Linked DNA regions of Canis lupus familiaris. The protein of the gene in region 7 purifies or fractionates together with the protein of the main gene of each other region. This does not show direct contact. Links are inferred from orthologs where the notes say so. Each region holds a gene or a part of one and is shown on either strand. Other genes may lie near its edges.

Region 1 (3,198 bases), about 6.5 Mb from region 7:
CCAACCTGGTGCAGCACCTGGGCTCAGTCGGTTAGGCATCAGATTCTGATTTTGGCTCAGGTCATGATCTCAGGATCATGAGATCAAGCCCAGCATCAGGCTCTGCGCTCAACATGGAGTCTGTGTGGAATTTTCTCTCTTCTTCCCCACTGTCAACCCCCTTGCATGCCTCTAAATTAAAAAAAAAAAAAAAAAAAAGGCAGCCTGGACCCCTACTTCTTAGCAGCAGTGGGGGAGGCCTCTAGCTTCCACCCAGAGCCAAACCCCTTCCACCTACCCAAACCTGAGCTGTGGTCTTGCCCAGCACCAAACCAGAGGCCACAGAGTACACCCAGAGTGCTCCTGGGCCCACACAACCTTCCCTACTGTTGTCACCTTGGCAATGGCCAACTCTGCTACTCTAGGGGCACCTTCACCTCCTTCAAAGCACATTTCCCCACACCAACTCCTGCACCTCCTTTAGTTTCAGCCAGTCTTTTCTGCTTATGTTGGTCTAAGGAACAGGACACATTTAAGACAATGCTGTCCCCAACCCCTTGACACCAGGAGTCGACTACAGGGCACAAAAGAACCTTGTTCTTTTAAATTCACTACCGAGATGAACCACGATAGACTTTTCCAGATATAAAGGAGTTTGTTTTAGCTCAGATGTAAATGAGAAGGCACAGCCCCCTTGTCCATTCTCTCAAAAGCAGCCCAAGTCTATAGAAGGGAGTCACTAGCTGGCCTGCACAGGGTCCATCCCTTACAACAGTTCCAAGTCCCGTCCTCCAGATGAGTCCAGCTGAAGTCCTTCCCAACCTGGGAGGCAAGCTGCATTCGCAAGTTTCTTCACCTGGGTCGTAGCTGGGAAGCACCTGCTCAAGTAGAAACGTTTCTTTAACAGAAGTCTCTCAAGAGCCGTCCCAACACAGCCGTCCGGCGCTGTGCACGCCCCGTCGGATCCTCTCCCGCCCGGAGTTCTCCGCGCCGCGCAGTCTGGCAGCGGACGGCAAGGGTCCTTCGGGGGACGGGGGCAGCTCGGTCCTCGGCGTCCGTGGTCGCTCGGGCTCCCGGCTCAGGACGGCGCGGCGGCGCCCCTCCGACGGGCCGCCCGCACCAGGCACTGCTGCAGCACGGGGTAGAGGCGCTGGCAGCCCTCCAGGCCCAGACGCACCGCCTCGGCCCAGCTCTCGGGCGGGCCGCCCTCCCCGCTGCCCAGCAGCCCGGCCACCTGGTTGAGCACCGGCATGAGCGCCACGGTGAGGCCGGCGGCGGCGCGCTCCTCCTCGAGGCGCGTGGGGTCCAGCAGCCAGGTGGGCGCGGGTTCCGGCGTGCGGCTCAGGCCGCAGCCCACCACCAGGTCGTACATCTCGACCCCCGCGTCGGCCAGGGCGAGCGCGGCGGCCGTGAGCGCGGCGGCCAGCGCCGAGCCGCCGTCCTCGAGCAGCAGCGCCGACACCTCGAGCTGCGCGCGCGGGTAGCGGCCCAGGCGCACCGCCGGCTCGAGCGCCTCCTGCAGGGCCAGCGCCAGCTCGCGCTCCTCCCCGCCGCCCGGGGGCGCGCGGCGCCGGCGGCCGGCGAAGGGCGCGCGGCGGAAGTCGCAGAGCAGGCGGCCGCGCAGCGCGGCCGGGGCCTCGCCGCCCGCTCCGGCCGGGCCGCCGCCGCGCTCGCTGCCCTCAGCCTGGCGCGGGCCGGACACGGCGCACAGCACCTTGGTGCCGCCCGCCTCCAGGTAGGCCGAGCCCTTGGCTTGGCTCAGGAGCCCGGCGCGCGCGTACACGGGCCGCAGCCGCGTCGGGTCGCGGGCCGCGGGCGCCTCGTCCTCGTCGGCCGCGTACAGCTGCGGCGGCTGCGACTCCTCGGGCCCGCGGATTCGGCGGTGGTCCCCGGGCATGGCGGCGCCTGGCGTGCGAGCCGCTTCCGCCCGTCCCCTCGGCCCCGGCGCCGGCGCTTCCGCCCGCTTAAAGCCGCGCGCCCGCGCGAGGGCTGTCGGGATAGCGGCGGCCGGCGCCGCCCCGCCCCCTGCCGTCCCGGAGGAACCACAGCCGAGCCGCGGGGCCGCCGCGGGGCCGCCGGGAGGTCCCTGGCCGAGGGGGTGGGCCGACGGGGGGACCGGGCCGGCCTGCCTGAACGCTAGCCTCTCGGGCCAGCGCAACCCCAGGGCGCACATCTGCGTCCTTTCACTTGTAAAGGTTGAAATTATTTTGCACTTACACGTGTGACCATCTCCTACGTGTTCCCGTCTTGCCCAAGACATGGTCATTCCTCAGTGCCCTGGCAGGAGTAACGCTTGTTGAATGGAACATTCTCTCTCCTGCACTGGATTGTGTACACTCCGTACCCCTAGGAGTCCTCACCTGGCACGTCTTGCTGAACCATGTCCCCCTGCTGCTTCTCACTCCCGGCGAGGACGGGCCCTCACCCCCAGGCTGGTGACCAGAGCAGGTAGCCTCTGCTGCTGCTCGCCTCCTTCCTTGTCAGCGGGACTAGTTAACCTGGGCCCCACTGCCAACTGTTGTACCCAGGGAACACGAAATCAGCCAGAGCTAGCACAAACAAGCAGAACCTTTAACCTCCCCAGCGAACAGTTTCCAAACCCAGCTGTCTTCAGACTTGAGTGAAGGGATTCGGGACCAGGGCAGGTCCCGATCGATCCTATCCATCTTTGGGTCAGGGAACCAGCAATGATGGGTCAAAGGGAAAGGGGTAGTCACCTAATGCACCCTAAGAACACCTCTGATCTCACACCTGACTGCTCAACATCAAAAAGGAGAGGAAGAGGGACACAGGCCTAAGAATGGGAGAGCTTCTCCTATAAAGTGCTTCCAGTAACCCCATGGCCCATCTTCTATTGAATGACTAATGACTCTCTCCATCTCACCCACTCAACTCCCCATCCTATGGGCCACCTTCACCAATGTCTTCAGGTAATCCAGAGGCCATTCCCAAAGTTCAGGAGTTGAGCTGGACTCGATGAGGACCACAACCAGAAGCCAGTTGGGGCCATAGGCTATTACACAGGGGGCTCCTATGAGAGGTGGGGGGTTAAGAGATCACATAGCATCATTGAGTATTGCACATAGTCCTTTTATTCTCTGCAGCAGAGAGGCCTAAAAGAACTCTTATCTACAGACACGAGCATTGTCATGATAAATAGCAATCCTGGGGTAGTGGTTTTAGACATGGTGCTGGTATGTAGGGAGGGCTCAGGGCAGA
Region 2 (3,656 bases), on a different chromosome or scaffold from region 7:
GAATAATCGAAAACCTTCACTTTGCCACTCTCTGCTAATTTGACATAGCCAGTAGGTGGGGGGAAACTAGGCATTTCCATAGACACTTTGCTCCTTGCCATTTTTACATGCTTATTTAAGTCTCTTATAAATTTCAAACATGTCAAGATGAAAAAAAAAAAACAAAAAACAAGATGAGAATTCACACATAAGAGCTTCTTTTCTCCATTCACCGCAGGCCATTGTCTGCAGTAATGAGATGCTTGTAAAGACAGGCAGGACAAGGATGTGTGCATGCGAGCAGAGAGAGGAGGAGATTTCAAAGTGCAAAGTAAACATTCCATGGTGGGAAGGGCCTTTCTAGGGTTCACTTGGCAAGGCTTCAGGGATTAGTGAGATGGTTAAAAAACTAGTCAGTAATGTGAGCCTCAGGGAGGTAATGCTCATTTAACAGCTCTTCAAAAATGTGTGCCAGCAATTCCCATCCAGGACTTTTTGTGAGACTACCAAAAGGAAGAGCCATTGTCTTCTTCTTTTTTTTTTTTTAAGATTTTATTTATTTATTTGATAGCACACAAGCAGGGAAAGTAGCAGAGAGACAGAGAAGCAGGCTCCCCACTGAGCAGAGAGACCGATAACGTGGGACTTGATCCCAAGACCCTGGCATCATGACCTGAGCCGAAGGCACACACTTAACTGACTGAGTCACCCAGGTGCCCCAAACCACTATCTTTCTGACCATGTTTCTCTAATGCCTTTATTAAATGCAGAATTACCTGGACAACTTTTGGCCTGACTTAAAGGCCGCCCATGAGCTTTGTGACTCCATCCTTCAGTCTCGACGGGAGAGAGAGAATGAGAGTCAGGAGAGCCACGGGAAGGAGTACGCAGAACATCTTCCCCTGGAAGTGTTAGAAGCTGGCATTAAATCGGGACGCTACATCCAGGTGAGGGTTGTCCTGAAGCATCAGCGTTGGGACCAGCCCGCATGTTTTCTTCTCTGCTTTATTGGCCATCACAGGCCTTTAATTTCAAAAGCTGTAAATAAAATGGGCATGAGTAAGCCAGGGCTGTCAGTGTTTCAGATGATTTGAGAGTCTTTCTTCCTACGTGCTTATTTAATTATGGACACCTTGCTGCCTGGTTTGATGCTACTCTGTAATCTTCTTAATCAGGTTATATATTGAGCACCACACAAGCCTTCTAATGCCTCCAGTCTCTGGGAAAGAGACTATATTTTGAATCAAGGTATTTGCCTTTGACAAAATTGTGAAATTGGTGAAATTTGGCTTCTTGGCTCCTTTGCAGTGTCTCTGCCTCTTTCTTTCTTTCTTTCTTTTCTTTCTTTTCTTTCTTTTCTTTCTTTCTTTCTTTTCTTTCTTTTCTTTCTTTTCTTTCTTTTCTTTCTTTTCTTTCTTTCTTTCTTTCTTTCTTCATGAGAGACACAAGAGAGAGAGATGCAGTGTCTCTGCCTCTTTCAAGGGGGTCATTTGTAGTCCTCCAGGACCCAGAACCCAGAAGCTGTTAAGCTGTGTTGATAAGGAATCAGATTATTTATCAGATTTCAACAGCTTTACGTGTGTGTCTGTGTGTGTACAGTTTTATCACATCAGTAGATTTGTGTATCCACCACCACTATTGAGATACAGCACTGTTCCATCATGAATTTTACATTTTGACAAGCAGCTCAGACAGTTTTCATGCAAGCCAAACATTGAGAATAGCATGCCAAAGTCCCTCCTAAAGTGTGGGTATTATTATTATTATTATTAATTTTATTTATTTATTATTTATTTAGAGAGCAAGGGAGTAGGGGTTAGGGAGGGATAGGTAGAGAGAGAGAACCTTAAGCAGGCTGCATACCCAGCATGAAATCAAGAGTCGGATATTTAACCAACTGAGCCACCTAGGTGCCCCTAAAGTATGGGCATCTTAAATGAGTATGCCTAGAGACTCTGATGCTTCCAACTCGGTAGTAAAGTTTACAGCATTCCTGGGAGGATATTTTGAGGAAAAAGATTTTTTGAGGACCACTCATCACTTCAGTAAAATATCCTTTATTGGTATAGCCAAGAATAGTTCAAAATGATGGTGTGTTCTCTGGAGAAAAGAGACCTTGGTGATGAGTATTTTTCCTAAAGGAAGGGATCACAGACCTTAAAAGAATATTTTGGGGTTATTTTCATATACTTTTTGAAAACTGTACCTTTGGAGGCAAAGTGGGCAGTAAAGAAATTTTTCTATTGATTTTTATTATGATTGTAGGGAATCCTGAATGTCAACAAACACAGGGCGCAGATAGAAGCTTTCGTTCGACTTCAAGGAGCCAGCTGCAAAGATTCAGGTTCAGTATAAGCCTTACGTAAACTTCTGTACTACATCTTTATTCTGATATTACACGGTGAAGAAAGCAAAGCTGACCCTGCCGTCATGTATGCCATGTCAGGTATCCCCACTCTGGGTGTGTGGGGTCACAGATTGGTGTTTTTTCCCCCTCGAAGTTTATAGTTTCTGATTTTATTGCAATCAGTTTTTAAAGATGAGAACAGCTACATTTTATTGAGTACCTGCTGTATACGCATCAGGTACCTTTCTAAGCACTTAACGTGGATACTATCATTATTTTGCACCTTTTATCCATGAAGATACACAAGGTTACACATGAGGAAACTGTAATACAGGGAAACAAAGTCACTTGCCCGAGCTCACACACCTGGTGAGTGGTGGGGCTAGATCTGCTGCTGAGGCAGTTTGGCTGTGATTTTAAGACACTGCCCTTTGTGGTCTTGCTGGAATAATTGTAAAAGTGATAAAAATGAAGAAGATGTGGAAGTAAGTTGTATCATAATAGAATATAGTTCTGAGGGCCTCGATGGCAGGGTGGAAAACACCCAGTGGCTCTCCGGCTGCTGCTCGTGAGCTGGCTGTGTCCGTGGTTCCTCGGCCTGCCGACCGCTCCCTGGCTGCGTGGCCTCCTGGAACGCTGTGGGCTCACATAGCCTCACGCAGGGGCCTATTACCTACCGTGAGAGACGGGTGAGGTAGGCCTTATAAAAGCACCTGACGAGGGATCCCTGGGTGGCGCAGCGGTTTGGCGCCTGCCTTTGGCCCAGGGCGCGATCCTGGAGACCCGGGATCGAATCCCACGTCGGGCTCCCGGTGCATGGAGCCTGCTTCTCCCTCTGCCTGTGTCTCTGCCTCTCTCTCTCTCTCTGTGACTATAATTAATAAATAAATAAATGAATAAATAAATGCATGCATGCACCTGACGTCATAGGACACGGTGACAGCGTTTCCTCATTCCTAACCTGTGGAATGAGGTTTGGCTTCACCTTTGAAGGGGGAGGAAGCTTTTATTTGCAGGGACGCTGATGAGACGTCAGATTCATGATGTGTGGCATCCCCCGTGGCTTTATGGGGTCTCTGTGTGCCCGCCCAAACACAGGTTTAGTCAGTGACATCCTCATCCACGGGATGAAGGCTCGAAACCGCTCCATTCACGGCGACGTGGTAGTCGTGGAACTGCTCCCTAAAAATGAATGGAAGGGAAGAACCGCCGCCCTGTGTGAGAATGACAGCGATGACAAGGCCTCGGGAGACCCCCCGAGTGAGCCCATGCCCACAGGTGAGCCTGCCAGCCGGCCTCCCAACTCACCAGTGCGCCCGTGGGACGTGCC
Region 3 (3,656 bases), on a different chromosome or scaffold from region 7:
AGGTTTGTAATTTTCTTTGATCAAGGCTCTTCACCCAAGTCAGACTGGATCAGCTTAGAATACTGTTACTCTGTGTCCTGATATCACTTGAGTTTATGGCAGTCTTCACTCATTGACTGGAACTCTTACGGGCAGCAAAGTAACAAAGCTAGCATTATTTACCAATACCGCTAGAAGGCCAACAACCACTATCTCTTCAAGACTGCTTAGCTAGGGTAGTGCATCATAATTATCTGGGAGGGAAAAAAAACCTTCGTAGGTAATTTTGAAGTTCATCTAACAGACTGAGAATCACTATTCCAAGGCACAGAAACAATATCCTCCTTGTCTCTAGAACCAGTTGTAGATTAGCATGTATACTCACTAAACATCACTGGGCACAATTGTTCAGTCAGCTATGAGAACATTCAAAAATTTTTTTATTGTGCTTTTGCTATATTTTAGTCACAATACCAGGTACTGAAAATTCAAAGACAGAATCCTGCCCTAAAAGCTCAGGCAAGTAGGGGAGACAGGCATATAAATTTACTTGCAATACTAGTATCAATGGTTAATGGAGAAAATCTAACCTGCTCTGCAGTAGATCAGAAAGGGCTATTATCCACCTGTTTCAAATGCTCTTTATGACACTTTATTATAACTTTTATTTACGTATCACCTGTCTTTCCCCAGTAGAATGTAATCTCGACAAGGAAAGGGTTCTATCATGTTCACTGCTTTAACTCCTACTTCCTGGAAAAGTGGTGGGCATAGTAGTTGCTCAATGTATATTTATTGAATGAATGATGTCCCAACAAGCACTCATAATTAATGAGCCATTGTCAATTTGGAGAGCCTCTAATTGCATGCCCAAGGTTCTAGTCAATACTTGGAAAAAGGAGGCACCATGGTGCAAAAGAAAGAATTTGGGTTTTACAGTAAGACAAACCTAGGTTTGAATAATGCTATGCCGCTTGATGTCTATGTGACTTAGAGCAAGTTAGCTAATTTTTCTAAGCCTTAATTTACCTCTCTGTAAAAGACAGAAATGACCAGTACATTTCAGAGTTACTGGGAAGTTCAGAGATAGAGTAAGTTAAAATGGCTAACACTGTAGGGAGAATCAGGTGGTAGCATCTTTCTACAAGGCAACATGGGAAAAATATAACCAGAATTTAAAATGTACACATTCTTTGACCCGGCATTCCACTTCTAGGAATCTTTTGCCACAGAATCCTAGGCAGGCACAAGTATATACAGTATAGGAGTTTTCTCTGCAGCACTGTCTATCAAAGAAAATCTGTAAAGTTTAAAACATCTATCAGGGGACTGCTTAACATAATGCCTGGAATTTAACATACTTGATAGAAGGCAACCAGATCTATAATAACAACAGTAACATGTAACGATATTGGCATGTACTGTAACTTATGCATTTCTTCCTCACAATAACCCTAAGATCATACTATTCCAGACAAGGAAACAGACTTACAAGAAACAAAGTTAACTTGCACTACTATCAATGGCAACATCCTGATTGTTTAGGTATACTGTAATTTGCACAATGTCACCATTGGGAAAAAATGGGCAAAGTGTCTAAGGAATCTCTATTATTTCTTAAAACTGCATGGGGAGCTACAAGGATCCCAATCCAATTTTCTATTAAAAAAAAACAAAAACTAAAAAACCCAACCTAACCTATTCAAGGCTAGCAGCTAGAGGATATGAACCTAGGCAGGTACACTCCAGAGTTTACCTGTAACCACTGTCAATACACATAAAAGATACAGGCTCCTTGAAGAACATCTCAAGAACTGACATCTAGTTCTTTCCTTCCATTCCTTCTGCAGCTTCTCCATGCTTAACCCTCATCTCATCCCTTCCTCATCCTCATCCTCAATGAACACTTGTGTATTCATTCTTGCTTCTATACTTTGCTTCACTGTCTGCCTTGCATATCCTTCATTCCATTTATCTAAGTTCTTCGGTTCCTTTTGCTTCACATCACGGATCCTTCTTGGTCACCTCACATGATAGTGCTCTGTCCCTCTTTTCAATTCAGATTTAAACATTTCTTAGGGTACCCACTAAATCAGTAATACTATGTTCGTTCAACTAATTGCTTTCAAACTACTTGCATGTACCCTGAATCACCATGTGTTATGTAATTCTCACTAAATTGTAATCTGTTTAAATGAGATGTATATAAAGTGCTTCACCTAGTGCCTGGCACATAGAAAGTACTCAGTAAGTGGAAGTGCTTGAAAGTGAACATAAAAAGTATAAAAAAGATTGGAGATTAGGCTTTTCCAGAGAAAGCAAGCACTTGACATGTAAGTTAATGGGTGCAACCAGGCAAACCCCAGCTTTAAATGTCATGATGCTTTTTAGATTCCCTTCCCTACTCAAGACAACAGAAGCCATAAAATCCTTTTAGTAAAAACGTTTTCTTTGTCACAGCAAAAATACGTATCTGTGAGACTGTCAGAAGGATCGGGCTACTTCCAATATTATACAGTTTGTCTGCTGGCGCCTCCAAAAAAATTCATCACTCGAGAATGAAATCCACTGAAAGGTTCATAAGAAAAATGTTCCACCTACAGTATAAGTTGCTGGCAGATTTTTCTAAAGATGGTTGTTAGCCAACCACAGGTGTTTGAATAAAGACAATGGCATCTTGATGTTGGGTTCATACATGTATGTACTCTTAGAAACGGCTTACCCCTCTCCATGGGGTAAAATGTAGGGTAAATCTTCTTAGGTCTGTAAGAATTCAGGCTGTACTCTGGCCACTTTCCGGAATTCTTTAGTGTGGGTCTTAGGGCACTGCATCTCACACCAGCTAATGGGAACCATCTGGACACCTGGAAGGGAAGAGCTAGTGTTGGAGCTGGGACCCCAAATGTTTACTAAGACCCTTCCCTTTTCAGCTGGTTATGACCTGAAGTTTCATCAAACTACCTAGTGAACCTCACCTCATACAGAAAAAGCCTTATGCAGTGAATTCCCCCCTTACAGTTATATAAGGAGAATCATTCTAATCTCAGTAGTAAGTGATTGACACTCATATTGCGCTCTAGATTTAAAACCAGGGTAACAAGAGAAAACAGTGAATTAATCCCAACTGTAGCTCCCAGGGAAAGAGAAGCATGTGGATGTATGGACCTACTCACCCGATTCACTGTGGGCCACCACCACCCCAAGTTCATTCTCAGCAGTGGTCAGGAGGTAGTTCGATTGTGCATCACCCAGAGAGATCTAGTCACACAATACTGGTGAAGGAAAACAATGGGTGATAAGTCTTCCCTCCCATAGCCACTTGAGTTATTTTCTACTTCTATTTCTTGTTTTGACAAAGGACCACAAGACTGCTGGAATAAAGGATACCACTTTGGCCAAGACAATGTCACCAGGGCGGAAACTCTTATAAATCTCAACCTGTAAAGAAAGAACAGGAATGTTAAGTGAAAGCTCTAAATCAAATCTACATGAAACTATTTGCCCCTCTGGTAGAACCAGTGTACTTTTTAACTCCACAGGGTGGAAGTCATCGTTAGTGAAGCCAATCAACAACTTTTATTGCTTTTACATCATATAAATGAAAGATTTTTATTTTTTATTTTTTTAAATGAAAAATTTTTAATTCAATAACCTGGTAACGGATCTTAGATAAAAGT
Region 4 (4,449 bases), on a different chromosome or scaffold from region 7:
TAAAACACCACAATTTGGCATAAGTGGCATCAAGAATTCTGATAAAATTGTAAGGAGTTTAAATAACAATTGTTTTAGTGTGATGCATATTAACATGAATATAAATAAGTATGCAAACCACATAAAATAAAAAGGCCAACAACTAAAAGGAGGAGAGTGGTGGGACAGGAGGAGAGGGCAAACACCGACTCTTGCTCCCCCCTTGACTGCCTACCCACACCGAATCTGTGGAGTAGCCAGGTGCTTGTGGTGCTGAGCACTTATGAGAGAGGATACAAATATGTATGAGAAAAAAAAGCCCATGAGGTTAGAATGTGCAATTCTAATCTGGCCACACTATTTCTAACTTATGATATTGGATGAGTTAGAGTTTTAGCCTGTTTTCTCATTTAAAAACCCCCGCCAGACCAAAAAAAAAAAAAAAAAAAAAAAAAAACGGACCAGCCACAAAGCTCATTTTGTTTCCTTAAACTCTCCAAGAAGATTCCAGCAGCAGCTGATGATACAAAACAAGGACACATACTATTTTTCTTCTATTTATGCAGGGAAAGTAGAGAAAATAAATGAGCGGAACTCCTCTGAATAATAAAGAAAAACAATTTCACTCTAAGTCTTTTTCAAATAAATGTTTTAAAAAGTCACTAAAGTAAAAACAGCATCGTGTTGCCACACAGTCTGCAGACATACTTAATTTTAAATATATCATCAGGCAAGAGCATACAAAGTGGTTGGGAGGGTACATAAGAAATTTCTGCTTTCCGTTTGTTCTGGGTTCACCCACCTGCGTGCGTCTGGAGGTAGCGTGTCATGTGCTGGGCTTGCATGCTAACCCGTGATGGAAGGGGACAAGCTGAGCACAGGAGGCCCTGGTGACCTCGACGGCTTGGGCATGGCTGGCACTGCCTCTCTCAACAGATCTAGCCTGGGATCTCTAAATTGGTGATTTAGTCTAGTTTTAACTAGGGACATCATATTGAAAGAGAAATATGGTACCTGTCTCTTTTCCAGATAGCCCAAAGCTTCATCCATCATTACAGGCACTTAAAGAAAAAAAAATACATCTCTGAAAAATTGTTTTCGAAAATGATTTGCCAAGCCCCCACTCAGTTTACATATGGAAAAAGTCTGAATAGTCTAACAGAGCCCTCTCGGACCTCTTCCAGTGGCCCTTCCCAACTAGAAGGCCTGTTTTCTGTCCACAACTAGCTTAATGTCTCTCTAGAACACTTCAGTCCTATGACTTCATGATGCTGACCGTATTCTTTATAGCTGGCATTTGTTTCCACTCTCATGAACTACAACTACCAACTATGCACTCATCAGAGCCCACATCTACTAATGTTCTCACAAAGATAGTAAAGTTCATACTTTAAATTTCCTTTTCTTCCCAATGGCCCCATATCCCAAAAATGAAATTGGGCTTACACCGTTTTTCTTCATTGTATGAAGGCACAACAACGGAGAGCTGTTTGGTAGGCGAGTCCCATACGCTGGGCAAAGTTTCCTTCTGTCCTTTGGCATTTAAGAAGAACTTCTCCTCTTCATGTTGATGGAGATGTGGCATTTTTGTAGCAGTTATAAATGCAACAAAGGAAATCTAAAAGTAGGTATGTTAACAAGAAACTATATTATGTAAGATTACATCATTTATGTGATTTTTATTGTTGTTGTTAAATGTTCACTCTCAGTTTTTAGTCCATTAAGAATGGTCTGGAGGTGACACCAAATTCAAATCCCTTACTTATGAACTAATAATTGTCCTTCTTCCATTGGTAGGAACTAATGCCTTAGGAGCTGTGTCTTCCCACCTGTCATCCCTAGGCCTCTGTCATCCCAGATTTAATAGGGAATAGTCACCAGAGAAGTGCAATCCATTTTAAGATGCCCTGAATCTCCAACCCCTGGCTAATGATGACAACATTCATTTAGCATTGTTTTAAAGATCGCACAACATAAAACATTGAATACAATACCCCCAAATTATAAGTCCTCTATAAATGTTAGCTTTTTAAAAAATTATTTTATTTTCATTTATTCATGAGACAAAGAGAAAGGCAGAGAGACATAAGCAGAGGGAGAAGCTGCCTCCCTGCGGGAAGCCCAATGTGGGACTCGATCCCAGGACCCCGAGATCACGACCTGAGCCCAAGACAGATGCTCAACTGCTGAACCACCCAGGTGCCCTAAATAGTAGCTCTTATAATCACAAGCTGGTAGGATCAAATACTTCCAGTTCATCCTCAAAATGCACCCATTTAATTCTATAAAACAGATAGATCAAATAAACAGAGTCAATTTAGGATTCTGTCAAAACTCTGCCCCCACCAAAAACCTGAGAAAACCTTGAAATCTCCATCTACCCCTAACGGAGAGAGAGGACTCCTTTCTGACCCCGACACAAATCACCGAAGAAGTCAGGACACGTTGCTTTTTCTCTATAAGTTATTTCTAAACTGTGAAGTGTGCAAACCCGGCAAGGCGGAAGAACGGCCTTCCCAGCAGTGCTGTCAGGGGGGCTAATCTGGGTGTCAAGGAAGCTGGAACCTCTCCACGTACTAACTGGATGGCAGGCTCGTTCCAAATTATAAGGGAGAAAGCTCACTTGGCAAACCATTACTAATGAATCAGCAAGTGCTTACAATGTTTGTTTCCAGAGTGATGGCAAAGAAAATCCGAGTCTCAATTCTACTGTGCCCTCCTTTAGAGGCAGCGAATTTAGGGTGTTTAATCCCGGGTCATAGGGACTGCCAGACAACGGTAACAGCAGGCCTGCGTGCCTCGGCCTTACTGTGTCCCTCCTGGGTCTTCTTGATCCACTGATTCACCCCAATCTCTAGCAGATGGCTCTCGTCAAAGCTGTCACCACCTTCTAGTTGCTTCCCCGCATCAGGAGGGTCAGTCCAGGGAGCGCAAACCTCCTGGGGGGGCTCGAGACCTTCCCGGGTGCAGCCGGAACTGCACAGGCTGCAGATGCAGGAGGAAGGGGTGGAGAGGTCGGGACTGACAGGGCAGAGGTCGGGGGCGGCGGGGCCGGTGGAGGCTGACGGGGGCGCACGTCCCCCGGGGAACCAACGTTACAAGGGCCTGGCCGCAGAGGGAGGTAACGCTCCAAAATAAAGACAAAGAAGGGAAGAAAGGGGCTGTGAAGTTCTAGGAGAGGAAATCCTGGTCAAGTTTCGGGGGAGAGCGTGGGGGGAAAGGGACGCGTCGAAGCGTGCGGGGCAGAGGACAGGCTGCGTGGCGGCCGAGTCTCTGAGAGGACGGAGCCCAGGCCCGCGTCGGTCCCCAGCCCTCTGCTCACCAGCGTCAGGGCGGCGGCCGCCAGCGCCACGCCGAGCACAGCCAGCTGCAGCAGGAGCGCAATCATCGTCCATACCCGGCTGCCGCGCGCCCTCCCCAGCGCCTACACACACGCGGAAGCGCCGCCGCGCAGCTCCGCCTCCCGCCGGCAGAGCGGCCGAGCCCGCCCGCCGCCCGCCGCCCACAGCGCCCCTCGCGGCCAGGCGGCGCACACGCCGTCCCTGGCGGCCAGGCTCGCGCGCAGAGGCGGGCGCCGGGTTCCCCGCAGGGCTGACAGAACCCGCAGGCACACACAGGATTCCACCCAGTCGGAATTTCAGGTAGGCAGTGAGCGGCTTTTCGACAGCCGTCTTAAGACAGCACTCACGCACCGTGCAATCCACCCATTAAAAAGGTTTTATTGTATTCCATGAGTCTTTAAAAACGGAGACAGCATAAAATTTGCCATTTTAACCATTTTAAGGGTACGATACGGTGGTATTGGTTACATTCACAATTTCCTGCACCCATTATCTATTTCTAAAACATTCTTCGCTCCCAGCCGCCCCCGCCCCCCGCCCCGTAACAACTAATAACATGTACTATTTGGGGTATACTCATAGTGGGGAAAAATTAGCTTGTGTATCTGACATTAAAAATTAATTGGATGTTCTGTATTCCGTCTGGCAAACCTACCTAGGAGGGAGGTGACGGCTTTGAGAACAAACGCAGCCCACGGCACAAGCTGCTCCTCAGGAGCCCCTCCGGGGGCCCGCAGAGTGTACCGCGGGGCGATCACCAGCGCGCACAGAGTTTACGTGATTGCTCAGCAACTGGAGCTCCAGGGAGCCCTTCCCTTGGGGTGAGGCACGCCCAGGGCCCAGCCTGAGACAGAGGCGGGAAAGGACGCAGGAGCTCTGGAATAATGCCCCACACTTAATACTCACTCAATTCCTGGCAATAAGGTCGGCTTTCCCTTAAACTCCTGAGCTAGCATACCGTTTTTCTAAAGAGACACACCCGTCTCTTTCCCAATAGCAGATTCGACAAAACGCGTCCGAGGCCAAGAAGCCTAGAGGCGCGCTGGGCTCCTCCGAGCGGAGGCGGAACGAGAACCCCCTCGCGGCCACCAGCCCTCGGCCTCTGCAGCAGCGGACGAAGGGCGCAGGC
Region 5 (4,280 bases), on a different chromosome or scaffold from region 7:
AGTTCAATCTGTAAACTAGCCACACTAAGAGATTAGCAGCATTAGCACAATTATAATATTTTTAAATTAAAAAAAAGATTTTATTTATTTAATTGACAGAGAGCAAGAGAGCAGAAGCACGAGGAGTAGCAGAGGGAGAGGGAGAAGCAGGTTCCCTCGCTGAGCAGGGAGCCCAATGCGGGGCTCGATCCCATAACCACGTGGGGCTCAATCCCACCGATGCAGGGCTCGATCCCATAGAGGCGGGGCTCGATCCCATCGATGCAGGGCTCGATGCCATAACCACATGGGGCTCAATCCCATCGATGTGGGGCTCAATCCCATCAATGCGGGCTCGATCCCATGACCATACGGGGCTTGATCCCATAACCGTGGGATCATGACCTGAGCCCAAGGCAGATGCTTAACCCCCTGAGCCACCCGAGCCACCCGAGCCACCCGGGCGCCCTTATAACAATATATTGTAATGAAAGCTATGTAAATACGGTCTCTCAAAATACCCTACTGGGCTGCGCTGGCCCTTCTGGTGGCGCCACGAAATGGCAAAATGCCCGGGCAATGAGATGACGTGGCCTGAACGGCGGTAGGCACCTGCCGGCCTACGAATTCATCACAAGAAAGCAGGTGCTTGCAGACCGCGGCTGACCCCGGGTGACACCTGCTGACCCCGGGTGCTGACACCTGCTGACCCCGGGTGCTGACACCTGCTGACCCCGGGTGCCAACGCGTGCTGACTCCGGGTGACACCTGCTGACCCCGGGTAACACCTGCTGACCCCGGGTGACCCCTGCTGACCCCGGGCGCTGACACCTGCTGACCCTGGGTGCCAACGCGTGCTGACTCCGGGTGACACCTGCTGACCCCGGGTGCAGACGCTTGCTGACCCTGGGTGACACCTGCTGACCCCGGGTGACCCCTGCTGACCCCGGTGCCGAGGCCGACGCCGAGGCCGAGGCAGGCGAAGGCGCCGAGCGAGAGGCGAGGACAGCAGGTGGCTGCCGGCGAGCAGCGCTTCCCGCCGCAGCCCCACTGCGCGTGTCGAAGCCCGAGTTTTCGCGCAGGGACACGGTAAGGAAGGACCGAGGGCGCCTGCCGCGCTCTGCCTCGTCTCGGGGTCCTCGCCTCGCCGCGCGGCCCGAGCGGGAGTCGGCGCGGAGCCGCGAGCCCTCCCGGCCCCGGAAGGCGGGCTGCGGCCCACGGAGACCCGGCCCCGACGCGGTGCAGGCGGAGGCCGCGGGGGCAAACCGCGCGCGAACGGGGCCCGGCGGCTCACGCGGCTTCCTGCTGCCCGGGCCCGCCCCGCCCCCGCTGACCCCGCTGACCCCGCAGCCCCCGCAGCCCCCGCCCGCCGCCCGCAGGGGCGCCCCTGAGCCGGCGCGGGGCGGGGCGAGCCGCCTGACGTCACCACGCGGCGCCGCCCGCCCCGCCCCCGCCGCCCGCGCCGCCGGCGCCTCTTTGACGTCACCGCCGCCCGACTGCTCTTCCCGGAGGCCGGCGCCGGAGGCCCGCGAGGTACGGCCGTTCGGAGCTGGGGCGGGAGTTTCTCTCGTGTTTCTGCACAAGTTCGCCCCCTCGGGGAGCCCCCGCGGCTTTCACACGCCGGCTGGCCGCCAGGAGCGCCCGCACCCCCCCCCCCCCCGCTCACCTGGGCCCCTCACCGGCGCCCCCTCCCCGGGCTCACCTGGGCCCCTCCCCACTCTCCATCCAGCCTGCAGGTGGTTTGCTGGTTTGTCTGCCGTTTCTCCCTGGTCAGCTCCTCGGGCACCTCGGCAGGGGGAGGAGCCCTGAAGTGACGTCACAGCTGTCAGGGCCCCAGGGCCAGAGCGAACGCCGCGCCCGTGACGTCCACGAGGTCACCTGGTTGATGTATTTTCACGCCTCCGGAGGTCGAGGTGCCTCGGCCGAGGTTCAGGTGCCTTGAACGCGCCTCTGTTGGCCGCGACCCCGTGTCTGCGGGACGCAGGTGTCTGCCCCGCCAGCGAGCTCTGGGCGGCCTGATCCTGTGTCGGGCCGGGAGTCCCTGTGTCCTGACGACGCCGGGTCCCAGGAGTCGGGCAGGCATCTCCTGCTGAGACTCGGGAAGCCGCTTGCGGCTGCTGTTTGGTTGAAAGATGGAATAACGGGCGTGCGGGCGGGGCTGCATCCCGGGGCCCCATCGCGGGGCGCCCATCGCGGGGGCTCCATCACCGGGGCTCCGTCACCGGACTCCATCCCGGGGCTGCATCCCGGGGCTCCATCCTGGGACGCCCATCCCGGGGCTCCATTCCGGGGCTCCATCGTGGGGCTCCCATCCCGGGGCTGCATCCCGGGGCGCCCATCCCGGGGCTCCATCCCAGGGGCTCCATCACCGGGGCTCCGTCACGGACTCCATCCCGGGGCTGCATCCCGGGGCTCCATCCTGGGACGCCCATCCCGGGGCTCCATCGTGGGGCTCCCATCCCGGGGCTGCATCCCGGGGCGCCCATCCCGGGGCTCCATCCCAGGGGCTCCATCACCGGGGCTCCGTCACCGGACTCCATCCCGGGGCTGCATCCCGGGGCTCCATTCTGGGACGCCCATCCCGGGGCTCCATCCCGGGGCCCCATCGCGAGGTTCCATCACGGGGGCTGCGTCCCGGGGCTCCATCCCAGGGGCTCCATCGCGGGGCGCCCATCGCGGGGGCTCCATCCCGGGGCTCCATCGCGGGGCTCCATCACCGGGGCTCTGTCACCGGACTCCATCCTGGGACTCCCATCGCAGGGGCTCCATACCGGGGCTCCATCCCGGGGCTCCATCGCGGGGCTCCCCCAAGGTGCCACGGGATGCTGTAGCGGCCTTCAGGTGCTGGCGCTGTCTGCGTCCCACTCAGAGGACGCTCTCAAGCGGTTCCTTACAGTTGTCTCAGCCACCGATTCCAAGCACTTGGGCCTTCCATATGTTTTTTTTTTTTTTTTCAATATGGGTTTATTTATTTATTTATTCATTCATTCATTCATTCATGATAGAGAGAGAGGCAGAGACACAGGCAGAGGGAGAAGCAGGCTCCATGCAGGGAGCGGGAGGTGGGAGGTGGGACTGGATCCCGGGACCCAGGGGTCACGCCCTGGGACAAAGGCAGGCGCCCAACTGCTGAGCCACCCAGGGATCCCCACAATATGGTTTTGAATGGTCTACATTGGATCAGGATATTTGATCCTTTTCACTCTAGTAAATTAGTAAACTGTTGCTACCTGCAAATGTACTGACTGGTAATTGAGCCAAGCACTGTTCTAAAAGCTTTACCAATATTATTCATTTCACTTTTACGATAGCCCTATATACTGTTATTATTTTAGAGATGAGACTATTGTAGTAAGCAAATTCCCCGGTTCTGGAAGGTAGTTTTGCCGCTTCATAACTGTAATTTTGAAAACGCTTTGAGGTAAACACTAGCATTAATAATAGAAGTACATTCATTGTGTAATTTGATGTAGTTATTCATCTCAATTTTGAACGACCTTTTGTGATTTAGATCTTCTGTTATTGGACTTTGGGATAAATTTGGCTTTTTTGGAGGTCAGCACCTTTAAAAGGAAAAAGTCAATCTTAGGGATTTTACTGTAAGTTTGAAGGAGAATTATAGGTGGCATCGACACGGACTGTCTGCTAAAGGAGCAACATTATTGATAGACTGTTGTGTGTACTTTTCACCATTATTTTCTAAGATAATGCAGTACAAAGAGGTCATTATGGTAATAGAAATCTAGTGCAGCATCTGCAGATGTCCCTCTAGTTCCAAAAAAATTATAAATTGCATTGTTTTTCTGGCTTAGTTCATAATCATATGTAACTCTACTTAGCATAGGAGTGGAAGTAGCCCTAGAATGTACATTATGGTATATTTTTGTTTTGGATCTATGTGGTGACTTCCTAATATCTTTAAGTACAGACTGATCTCATATTAAGATTCCCCAAGGTTTGTCCCCAGTTTGCTTTCTTTGGTTTTGGACAGGTAGCAAACAGTTACATGTACCTAATATGTGGGAAGACCTTACATTAGTCATGTGCAGATGCAAATGTCATGCAGAGTAAGTCTTGCCTTGAAGGAACAGCATAGAGGATAAGTAACCAGTGGAATGCTCTGGGCAGAGGGGTGTCAGGACCTGATTTAGCTTTTTAACAGTATCACTTTGGCTGCTATGTTAAGAATAGATTGTTGGAGAGTGTGGTAGGCAAAAGCCAAGAGACTAAATAGGAAGGTGTTGTAATAATTCAGTGAGATTATACTGACTTCATAGGGTGAAAAGAAGTGAGCGCGGTGA
Region 6 (3,817 bases), on a different chromosome or scaffold from region 7:
GGGATTCGATCCCGGGTTTCCAGGATCGCGCCCTGGGCCAAAGGCAGGCGCTAAACCACTGCGCCACCCAGGGATCCCTTCATTCACCCGTTTTTTTTTTTTTTTTTAATTTTATTTATTTATTTACGATAGTCACAGAGAGAGAGAGAGAGAGGCAGAGACACAGGCAGAGAGAGAAGCAGGCTCCATGCACTGGGAGCCCGACGTGGGATTCGATCCCGGGTCTCCAGGATCGCGCCCTGAGCCAAAGGCAGGCGCCAAACCGCTGCGCCACCCAGGGATCCCGATTCACCCGTTTTATTGCACAGTGGGAGCTGGCGGGAAAGGGGGGGCACACAGCCTGTGCACATCCCCAGGCCCCGGGCGGCACCTCCCCGACGCTCAGCCCTTTGGCTCCGCTTCCCACATTCGCCCTTGAAGCCCGGGCTCAGCAGAGCGGCCAAATAAGGCAGCTGGTGCGGGGCATGAGCATCCTGTCCGGGCGGACCGGGACGGGGAAGGGGATGGAGACTGGGATGGGGACGGGGACAGGACGTAGACGGGGTGGGGGGGGACGGGGACGGGGACGGGTCGGGGGGAGGGGAGCGACAGGGACGGGGACGGAGGGGCGGGGGACGTGGACCGGAACGAGGACGGGGACCGAGTGGGGGTAGGGGGACGACGGGGACCGGGACGAGGACGGGGACGGGGACGGGGAGGCGGGCGGGGGGGGGGGTTTGGTCGGGGGCGGTTCCACGGCGCTGGGCCGCCAGGAGGTGTCGGAACACGAGTCAGGACGGGGTAGGACGCCCGCGACGGCCACTCCTCGGAATCCCGCGGGGTTCTAGCCCGGCCCCGCGCGCCCTCGCCCCCGCACCCGGGCAGCAGCGGGGGAGCATCTGGGCGCGTCCACTCCGCGGGCGCCGAGCGGCCAACCGGAAACTAGTGGGCGTTCCCCAGGGTTATTGGGGCAGATTTCTCAAGGTCTTTTTTGAGTGAAAACCATTAAAGTGTATAAAATGCTCTCATTAAAATAACCGGAGTTCCCAATGCCACGCGGCTGTACAACCGCGTGTGCTCCCGATCCGTCTGCGGTTAGCGTGAGCGGAGAAGAGCAGACGGGAGCACTAGAGGGTGCGGGGGGAGGGATGGGGGGCGCGCGGGGCGCTGAGTAGGGCGTCAGGGGGCGCGGGCAGCGCAGGCGGGGGAGGGGCAGGGGGCGGGGCGGGACGCAGGCCGGAGCCCGCCCCCCCCCCCCCCCCCGAGACCCGGCGCAGGCGCGTGCGGCGTGACCCCGGGAGGCCCGGGGGCGTCAGAACCGCCCTGCGACAAGCCCGAGGGGGCGCGGCCGGCGAGTCTCCCCGCATCCGGTCTCCGCCTCTGGCAGCCGTGGGACAGCTCCCCAAACGGCCGCGGGCGCCGCCTGCCCCCGGGGAAACCGTAGTTCCCCGGGCCGGAAGTGGGTGTCGGACCGCCGGAAGCCGTAGGCCCCCAGAAAGCCGGAAGTGGGGTCGGAGCCGTCGGGAAGTGTAGTTTCGCGGGAGTCGCAAGCGCGGCCAGCCGCCGGAGACATGGCGGGCCTGGAGCTCCTGTCGGACCAGGGCTACCGGGTGGACGGACGGCGCGCCGGGGAGCTGCGCAAGATCCAGGCGCGGATGGGCGTGTTCGCGCAGGCCGACGGCTCGGCCTACATCGAGCAAGGCAACACCAAGGCGCTGGCGGTGGTCTACGGGCCGCACGAGGCGAGTGGGCGCGCGCGGGCGGGGCGGGCGGGGCTTGGGTTCCCCGGCGCTGGGGGTACCTGACCTCGTCCTCCCGGGGACGCCTTCCCGACCGCCTTCCTCTCCTGGGGAGCCCCTCCCCTGCCTTTCCGAAGCCCGTGGGCTCCGCGTTCGACTTCTCGGGAGCGGAGCGTCAACTCCATGAGCGGAGGGACTGTAGCTAAACCCACCTGCTGCTACTGCCTGGCGTCCACGCCGGAGCGGGGAGGATGGCTGGGGCACGTAGCGGGGCGCGTTCGCAGCGGCGGAGATGGGGAGCAACTCGGAACGAGGTTTGGGGGGCTCTAGGGAGGCAGGAACCCGCCGCGCTGTAGGCCAGGGACACGACTTAGGATTTCACGGGTGATGGGGAAGCTTTAGGAGGCGTCAGGACATTGACGCAGCGAAAGTGTATAGGAGATGACATCAACCGGGATATTTTTTTTTAAGCTTTTATTTATTTACTCATGATAGAGAGAAGCAGAAACACAGGCAGAGGGAGAAGCAGGCTCCCTGCAGGACCTCGGGGTCACACCCTGAGCCAAAGGCAGACACGCTCAACTGCTGAGCCACCCTGGCATCCCGAGCCTGGATATTTGTGAACACACCTGCTCTGGCCACGGATGGAGAATGGGTTAGCAGGGGACGAGGCAGGGATGGAAACAAGGAGGCCTGTTAAGAGAAGTAATATCAGACATGATGACTTGGAGACTGGCCAACTGGCCCTCCGATGGAGGTCCTCCTGCTTGCTTATGGAGATGCCGGAAGTAGAGGGAGGGTGACGGGAAGGCGTAGTGTCAGCTGTGGAGGGGTGAGCCTGACTCATGTGTCCTTCCTCCCCCAGATCCGGGGCTCCCGGGCTCGAGCCCTGCCAGACAGGGCCCTGGTGAACTGTCAGTATAGCTCTGCGACCTTCAGCACAGGCGAACGCAAGCGACGACCGCATGGGGACCGAAAGTCTTGCGAGATGGGCCTGCACCTACGTCAGACATTTGAGGCAGCCATCCTAACACAGCTGCACCCACGTTCCCAGATAGATATATATGTGCAGGTGAGCAAGCAGCAGCCATCAACCCAGGAAGGGAGGGGGAAGGAAGGGGAAGCAAGGATGGGAGTCGGGGGACAAGAGCCTAATGGACCGATGCCACTGGGCGGTACTTGCAGGTGCTGCAGGCAGATGGTGGGACCTACGCAGCTTGTGTGAATGCAGCCACGCTGGCAGTGCTGGATGCGGGAATACCCATGCGGGACTTTGTGTGTGCCTGCTCAGCTGGCTTTGTGGACAACACAGCCCTGGCGGACCTCAGCCATGTGGAAGAGGCAGCTGGTGGCCCCCAGCTGGCCCTGGCCTTGCTGCCGGCCTCAGGCCAGATTGCACTGCTTGAAATGGATGCTCGGCTACATGAGGACCACCTGGAACAGGTGCTAGAGGCGGCTGCCCGGGCTGCCCGTGATGTGCACACTGTGCTGGACCGTGTGGTTCGGCAGCATGTACGCGAGGCCTCTATTTTGCTGGGGGACTGAGCATCTGGCCCCCCATGCCCAGAATAAAACTCACATACAATCTGCTATACTTTAATTTCCCCACAGCACTTGCACACCCTCAGATCCTGGCCTGGTGCTTGCTCTGGGAGGTGACTAGGAACCGTCCCCATCCCCCGCACATGACATACCTTTTCCAGCTTCAAGACCCAAACCCTGAAGAGGAAGGTCGGGGAGCCTGTCTGCGGATGAACAGCCATCGTGCTAGGAAAGGTTCAGGCAGCTGAGCAGTGAGGCAGGGCCTGGCATAACGAGCCAAGCTGTGAGACGAAGGCAGTTCTCAGACCAGCACATCCACAGCCCACATCCTCTGGACTATGGCTTGGACTGCATGGCCCCCTCCACCCTGGGAGCCCTTTGGGCCTCCCTAGCCTTAGGCTCGGAAAGCACAACAAATGTTCTCCCCTGGGGTGGTGCGGAGGGGTGGGGAGTCTTCACACATATCTGCGGCGCTGCCTGAGCCCTCACCCGGGCACCTCCTGATCTGAATAGGATTCCCCACTTTCTAGTCCACATACCCCAGGTCTTGAGACCCG
Region 7 (4,313 bases):
TGGGCTGTAGCTGGTATACAAGAAGAGTTCAATAAAGGTTCTCTGAATGTAACTCCAGACTTATTTTCCCAGACTCTCTTTCTTGGATGGTTCTCTTTAAACTCAGATGCTTTGGGGGCACCTGGGTGGCTCAGTGGTTAAGCATCTGCCTTTGGAGGTTGTGATCCCGGGGTTCTGGGATTGAGTCCCACATCCGGCTCCCCACAGGGAGCCTGCTTCTCCCTCTGCCTATGTCTCTGCCTCTCTGTGTGTGTCTCATGAATAAATAAATAAAATCTTAAAAAAAAAAAAAAAAAAAGCTTAGTGATTTGACTTTACTCACAAGTGAGAGCCTACAGCAGGCATCACAAATTACAATTCTGGGCTAGATAACAATTCTTGTAAATAAAGTTTTATTGGAACAAAGATCTGTTCATTTGGTTCTGAGCTACAATGGCAGGGGTGAGTAGGTACAATACTAACTGGCCCACAAGCCTGAAGTATTTATTATCTGTCCTCTTAGAGAAAAAGTTTACCAACTCCTATCTTAAGAGCCCAAAGGAGCTAACATCACAAATAAGCGCCCTCTTTACAATCATTTCATCATGCTGACAGGAATACCACCTATATCTTTCACTTTCTACTCCCATCAGGATCACCTTCCAGTCCCTAACAGGTGACCAAGTCGGAGGATTTCAGGTACACTTCAAAACAAATGTATTAGTATTAAATCCTCTACTCTCTTCATTCTTGCTCTACACTGAACTCTGGCTGAACAGTTACACTGGATACAGCAACCTAATGCAGCTGTTCCATTCATTCTCATGGGACACTCCACTCTATCTGTATGTATGGTATCTCTTGCTATCCTACCAATAAGTTCTTTATTATAACTGAAGCTGCTGACCCAACTAGAAAATCTGTGTCATAGTCCCCCCCTCTCCTTTGCTTCCAAGTCCTGTTGAGTCTTCTCCAACCACTGGGGTAGGAGTTGATACTTTTTTTATGGTATTTTCTTCCTTTCTAACTCTTGAGTCAGCTCTTTGGTCAGAGGTGTAATCACTCAGGACATCTTCAGTTGATGTGCCTGCTTTGCCAATCCACTCTACCTCTCGGATTGCAAACTCAGAGTCAGAAGAAGCCTCTGTGGGGTAAAAATGCAAATTTTGCTATTAATATGTAGGAAAAAAGAACTTTAGAAACTATAAATTATGATTTACCCTCCACCCTCACTCACCCTATTCATCCCTAGTTACACCCTCGCTGAACTCCAAATCTGGCACATGCAACATGTACTCTCCAATCTTTCAAAACATTATTTATGCCTTGCTTCCTTTTTTTTCTGGAAATTATTCTCTAAACACGACATCTTACACTGTGCTGACAGCGACAAGCAGTTAAGAGCAGGGGCTTTGGAGCAAGACTGCCTGAGTTTGGTTCTGTCTATACAACTTGTTAGCTGTGTAACTTCAGGCAAGTTAGCTACTTCTCTTTCGGGGCTTCAGCTGTAGGAGAGCAGTAATAACTGCATCTACCTCGCAGAGTCACTACATGGATTCTACGGGCGGCTATAGGCAAAGCACGTAGAACAGCTGTCTGGCACATAGCAGAAACTATAAATGTTTACTATTATTATTCAAGCTTTTAAGGCCTGGTTGTTTCCCCTGTTTTAATCCTATATTCCTTTTACGTGCCCTTGCCTTTTTGTTTTTCCACTTTGAAATTATTTGTTAAATGAGTTCAATTTTGGGGCGCCTGGGGGGGGTTCAGCGGTTGAGCTTCTTGCCTTTGGCTCAGGTCAGGATTCCAGGGGTCCTGGGACCGAGTCCCGCATCCGGCTCCCTGCAGGGATCCTGCTTCTCTTTCTCTCTCTGTGTCTCATGAATAAATAAAATCTTAAAAAAAAAAATGGATTCAATTTCGAATTTAAATAATCAATTTTGCTGAAAGTCGAAGATATTCACCTCAACTGTTCTAATTCTGTTCCCATTGCCATTGCGACCAGATCAAAACTTCTAGCTCGTTTTTGTTTTTTTTCCCCCACCAGGGCATTCTCCATAGGGCAGCTAAGGGAACTTTGAAAAGTAAGCACAGCTAAGATGCTCAATAGCTTCTCCGTGTTCACATAGAGAAAAAAATAATAATAATAATTCTTCCTCTGGCCTAAAACTGCTCACCTATGTGGCCACTGGCTGCTGGTTCAGGCCCACTTCTTGCTACTTGCCTTCCAGACACAACGGCTGATCTTTAGTTCTTGGGAATCCCAGCGGCTTTCCCGAGGTTTGCGTCCCAGAGCCGTGCACCCGGTTTTCCCTGGGTCTCCGCGGCCCTGCGCCCCGCCTCCCACCTGCCCTCCCTCTCTCCTCCTCCCCTCCCCCCCCCACCCCCCACCCCCCACCCAAGGGCCTCTCCCGCGGAAGCCAAGTAAGCTCCCGGCGCTCCGGGCACCGCTCAGCGCCGCGGCATCCTACCCGCTGCCGCCGCTCTCCTATCCCGCCGCGGGCTTTAAGAGCGAACCCGCCGGACTCAGAATCCCGTTCCCAGGGCCCGAACCAGACCAAGCGCTAAGTGAATGAATGAATGTCCGAGCTGGAGGCCCTCCGCGGCCGCCCCGGTGCCCCCGCGCGTCTGCAGCCCCGGCCCCGGCCAGGTGTGGAAGCTCAGGTACCCCCGTCGCCCAGCGCGCCTCCCCGCCGTCCCCGCACCTTCATGCGCAGCAGGTTCTTGGACAGTTTCGTCTTGCGCTCGGCCGCCATGTTGGCGCCTGCTCGGGGCCGCGCTCCACCCCCAGCCCCCGCCGCGCACGCGCACGCGCACACGCACACGCACGCCCGCGCACGCGCACTGCCGCGTGCGTCCCGGCGGCGGCGTCTCCCGCAGCTGGCGTCGTCGCACCGCGTGGCTTCGCCCTCGCCTGGGCGCGTCCCGGGAGGCGCTGTCCTCCTCGAGGAGCTGCGGGTGAGGACGCGGCTGTCCGCCAGGGGCGAGGGCGACTGGACGCAGGAGGCAAACGTCTACAGAGGCCTCAGTCGGAGGAGGCCCGAATTTTGCGCCCCGAGAGCGCCGTGGTGAGTGTCGCCGCGCGTCACCGAGGCGGTGGGAGCTGGTGAGACGCTCGCCGCCCGTCCTGGCCACGCCGCGGCTGTGGCGCGTCTGCGTCGCGGACGGCGGGCTTCCCGGGCCGCGCACCACGGTCAGCGCCACAGCCCCTCCTGCGTTGAGGTCACTGAGGCGTGGGGAGGCTGCCGGGCTGGCCCGGGAGCGGTGGGGGGAGGGGAGGCGGGCGGGTGCTGACCCAGGCAGTCTGGGAAACTGTGCACCGTTTGCAGCTGTGCAGGTAGGTCCCTGAGCCTGGATGAGCGTCCCGTGAGACAGCCCAAACCCAACTCGCAGGTGCGAGGCCCGGCAGCCACCTGTGCCAAGGGCTGGGGATGAGTGAGGGAGGGACTGGCGGGGCTAGGTAGGGAGAGATGGAGAGGGGGCCGCGGAGGCAGGCTCACAAAGTCCCCAGAATGCTGAGATGTAAGGAAACCAGACCTACGGGCACAGACCAGACCACCCTGCCCCCGGATATGGGTGGAAAACACACACACACACACACACACACCTGTGACCGGTAAAGAATAACCAGACCCAAAAGGAAGTCATTAAAGATGTTATCAGCAGACTTAAACCAGGACGTCTCAGGGAGGATAAGGCCACAATCTCCCTGGTCAGTTCTCAATAAAAGACTTGTCAGTGGAGGCCCAGTTGGCAACCCCATGAGGACCCCTCTCCTGAGAGTTTCTCTGCATCCTTGCTTAATAAACTTCCACTGCTTTTACTCTCTCTTGTCCGTGAGACTCATTCTTCTGCTCCGGGAGACAAGAACCCAGCTCTTGCTTCAGGGCCGCACGGCCCCCCCGGACGGTGAGGTCCACACCGTTCCCCGGAAAGCACCCGGCCGGCGGGCGGTGCCAGCGGCTTGCCTGTCCCACACAGCTTTCTTTCCTTTCCCTTTTCCTTTCTCTTTCCCTTTCCCTTCTTTTTCTTTTTCTTTTTTTTTAGATTTTATTTATTCATGAAAGAGAGAGAGGCAGAGACACAGGCAGAGGGAGAAGCAGGCTCCATGCAGGGATGAAGAGAGGCTTGTTTTGGCCTCCCATGAATCTGTTAGCGATAACGCAATTTCTCCCCTTCTTGAGGCGGTACCCTAAGATCCAATTAAAGGTTAGCTGTCAGGTGTGTGCAAGCTCTTTGAGGTGCATTTGAACCCTTTGATCTGAGTACAATGCCCTTCTGCCTGTCTATCCCCTTTATAAAATCTGTAGACGTCTGGATTTTGCAGAGAATAA

The links.
Region 1: the proteins of MPHOSPH6 (region 7) and EXOSC6 purify together in Homo sapiens (affinity purification with mass spectrometry; 3 studies listed by BioGRID and IntAct, with this or other methods). This does not show direct contact. The link is inferred for Canis lupus familiaris from reciprocal best matches to the Homo sapiens genes MPHOSPH6 and EXOSC6.
Region 2: the proteins of MPHOSPH6 (region 7) and DIS3L purify together in Homo sapiens (affinity purification with mass spectrometry; 3 studies listed by BioGRID and IntAct, with this or other methods). This does not show direct contact. The link is inferred for Canis lupus familiaris from reciprocal best matches to the Homo sapiens genes MPHOSPH6 and DIS3L.
Region 3: the proteins of MPHOSPH6 (region 7) and EXOSC1 purify together in Homo sapiens (affinity purification with mass spectrometry; 5 studies listed by BioGRID and IntAct, counting the BioPlex papers as one, with this or other methods). This does not show direct contact. The link is inferred for Canis lupus familiaris from reciprocal best matches to the Homo sapiens genes MPHOSPH6 and EXOSC1.
Region 4: the proteins of MPHOSPH6 (region 7) and EXOSC8 purify together in Homo sapiens (affinity purification with mass spectrometry; 4 studies listed by BioGRID and IntAct, counting the BioPlex papers as one, with this or other methods). This does not show direct contact. The link is inferred for Canis lupus familiaris from reciprocal best matches to the Homo sapiens genes MPHOSPH6 and EXOSC8.
Region 5: the proteins of MPHOSPH6 (region 7) and C1D purify together in Homo sapiens (co-immunoprecipitation; 3 studies listed by BioGRID and IntAct, counting the BioPlex papers as one, with this or other methods). This does not show direct contact. The link is inferred for Canis lupus familiaris from reciprocal best matches to the Homo sapiens genes MPHOSPH6 and C1D.
Region 6: the proteins of MPHOSPH6 (region 7) and EXOSC4 purify together in Homo sapiens (affinity purification with mass spectrometry; 7 studies listed by BioGRID and IntAct, with this or other methods). This does not show direct contact. The link is inferred for Canis lupus familiaris from reciprocal best matches to the Homo sapiens genes MPHOSPH6 and EXOSC4.

Annotation. Positions count from the first base shown.
Region 1 is NC_049226.1:76,859,483-76,862,680, forward strand, and holds EXOSC6 (exosome complex component MTR3), read right to left. Parts: upstream 1,877-3,198; coding exon 1,058-1,876; 3' UTR 564-1,057; downstream 1-563. UniProt on the Homo sapiens protein: Non-catalytic component of the RNA exosome complex which has 3'->5' exoribonuclease activity and participates in a multitude of cellular RNA processing and degradation events.
Region 2 is NC_049251.1:31,052,580-31,056,235, forward strand, and holds part of DIS3L (DIS3-like exonuclease 1), read left to right. Parts: intron 1-749; coding exon 750-926; intron 927-2,244; coding exon 2,245-2,323; intron 2,324-3,424; coding exon 3,425-3,604; intron 3,605-3,656. UniProt on the Homo sapiens protein: Catalytic component of the RNA exosome complex which has 3'->5' exoribonuclease activity and participates in a multitude of cellular RNA processing and degradation events.
Region 3 is NC_049249.1:10,912,886-10,916,541, forward strand, and holds the end of EXOSC1 (exosome complex component CSL4), read right to left. Parts: intron 3,418-3,656; coding exon 3,367-3,417; intron 3,238-3,366; coding exon 3,153-3,237; intron 2,844-3,152; coding exon 2,737-2,843; 3' UTR 399-2,736; downstream 1-398. UniProt on the Homo sapiens protein: Non-catalytic component of the RNA exosome complex which has 3'->5' exoribonuclease activity and participates in a multitude of cellular RNA processing and degradation events.
Region 4 is NC_049246.1:3,769,790-3,774,238, reverse strand, and holds the start of EXOSC8 (exosome complex component RRP43), read left to right. Parts: upstream 1-1,581; coding exon 1,582-1,607; intron 1,608-2,639; exon of another isoform or gene 2,640-3,163; intron 3,164-3,301; coding exon of another isoform or gene 3,302-3,374; exon of another isoform or gene 3,375-3,442; intron 3,443-3,975; exon of another isoform or gene 3,976-4,429; intron 4,430-4,449. Other genes in the region: ALG5 (dolichyl-phosphate beta-glucosyltransferase), read right to left, coding at 994-1,040, 1,426-1,597, 3,302-3,367. UniProt on the Homo sapiens protein: Non-catalytic component of the RNA exosome complex which has 3'->5' exoribonuclease activity and participates in a multitude of cellular RNA processing and degradation events.
Region 5 is NC_049231.1:68,473,319-68,477,598, reverse strand, and holds the start of C1D (nuclear nucleic acid-binding protein C1D), read left to right. Parts: upstream 1-1,416; 5' UTR 1,417-1,512; intron 1,513-1,681; exon of another isoform or gene 1,682-1,823; intron 1,824-4,280. UniProt on the Homo sapiens protein: Plays a role in the recruitment of the RNA exosome complex to pre-rRNA to mediate the 3'-5' end processing of the 5.8S rRNA; this function may include MPHOSPH6.
Region 6 is NC_049234.1:38,326,138-38,329,954, forward strand, and holds EXOSC4 (exosome complex component RRP41), read left to right. Parts: upstream 1-1,327; 5' UTR 1,328-1,550; coding exon 1,551-1,721; intron 1,722-1,781; exon of another isoform or gene 1,782-1,969; coding exon of another isoform or gene 1,970-2,032; exon of another isoform or gene 2,033-2,411; intron 2,412-2,583; coding exon 2,584-2,790; intron 2,791-2,903; coding exon 2,904-3,263; 3' UTR 3,264-3,305; downstream 3,306-3,817. UniProt on the Homo sapiens protein: Non-catalytic component of the RNA exosome complex which has 3'->5' exoribonuclease activity and participates in a multitude of cellular RNA processing and degradation events.
Region 7 is NC_049226.1:70,386,639-70,390,951, reverse strand, and holds the start of MPHOSPH6 (M-phase phosphoprotein 6), read right to left. Parts: upstream 2,817-4,313; 5' UTR 2,736-2,816; coding exon 2,685-2,735; intron 2,305-2,684; exon of another isoform or gene 2,157-2,304; intron 1-2,156. UniProt on the Homo sapiens protein: RNA-binding protein that associates with the RNA exosome complex. Involved in the 3'-processing of the 7S pre-RNA to the mature 5.8S rRNA and play a role in recruiting the RNA exosome complex to pre-rRNA; this function may include C1D.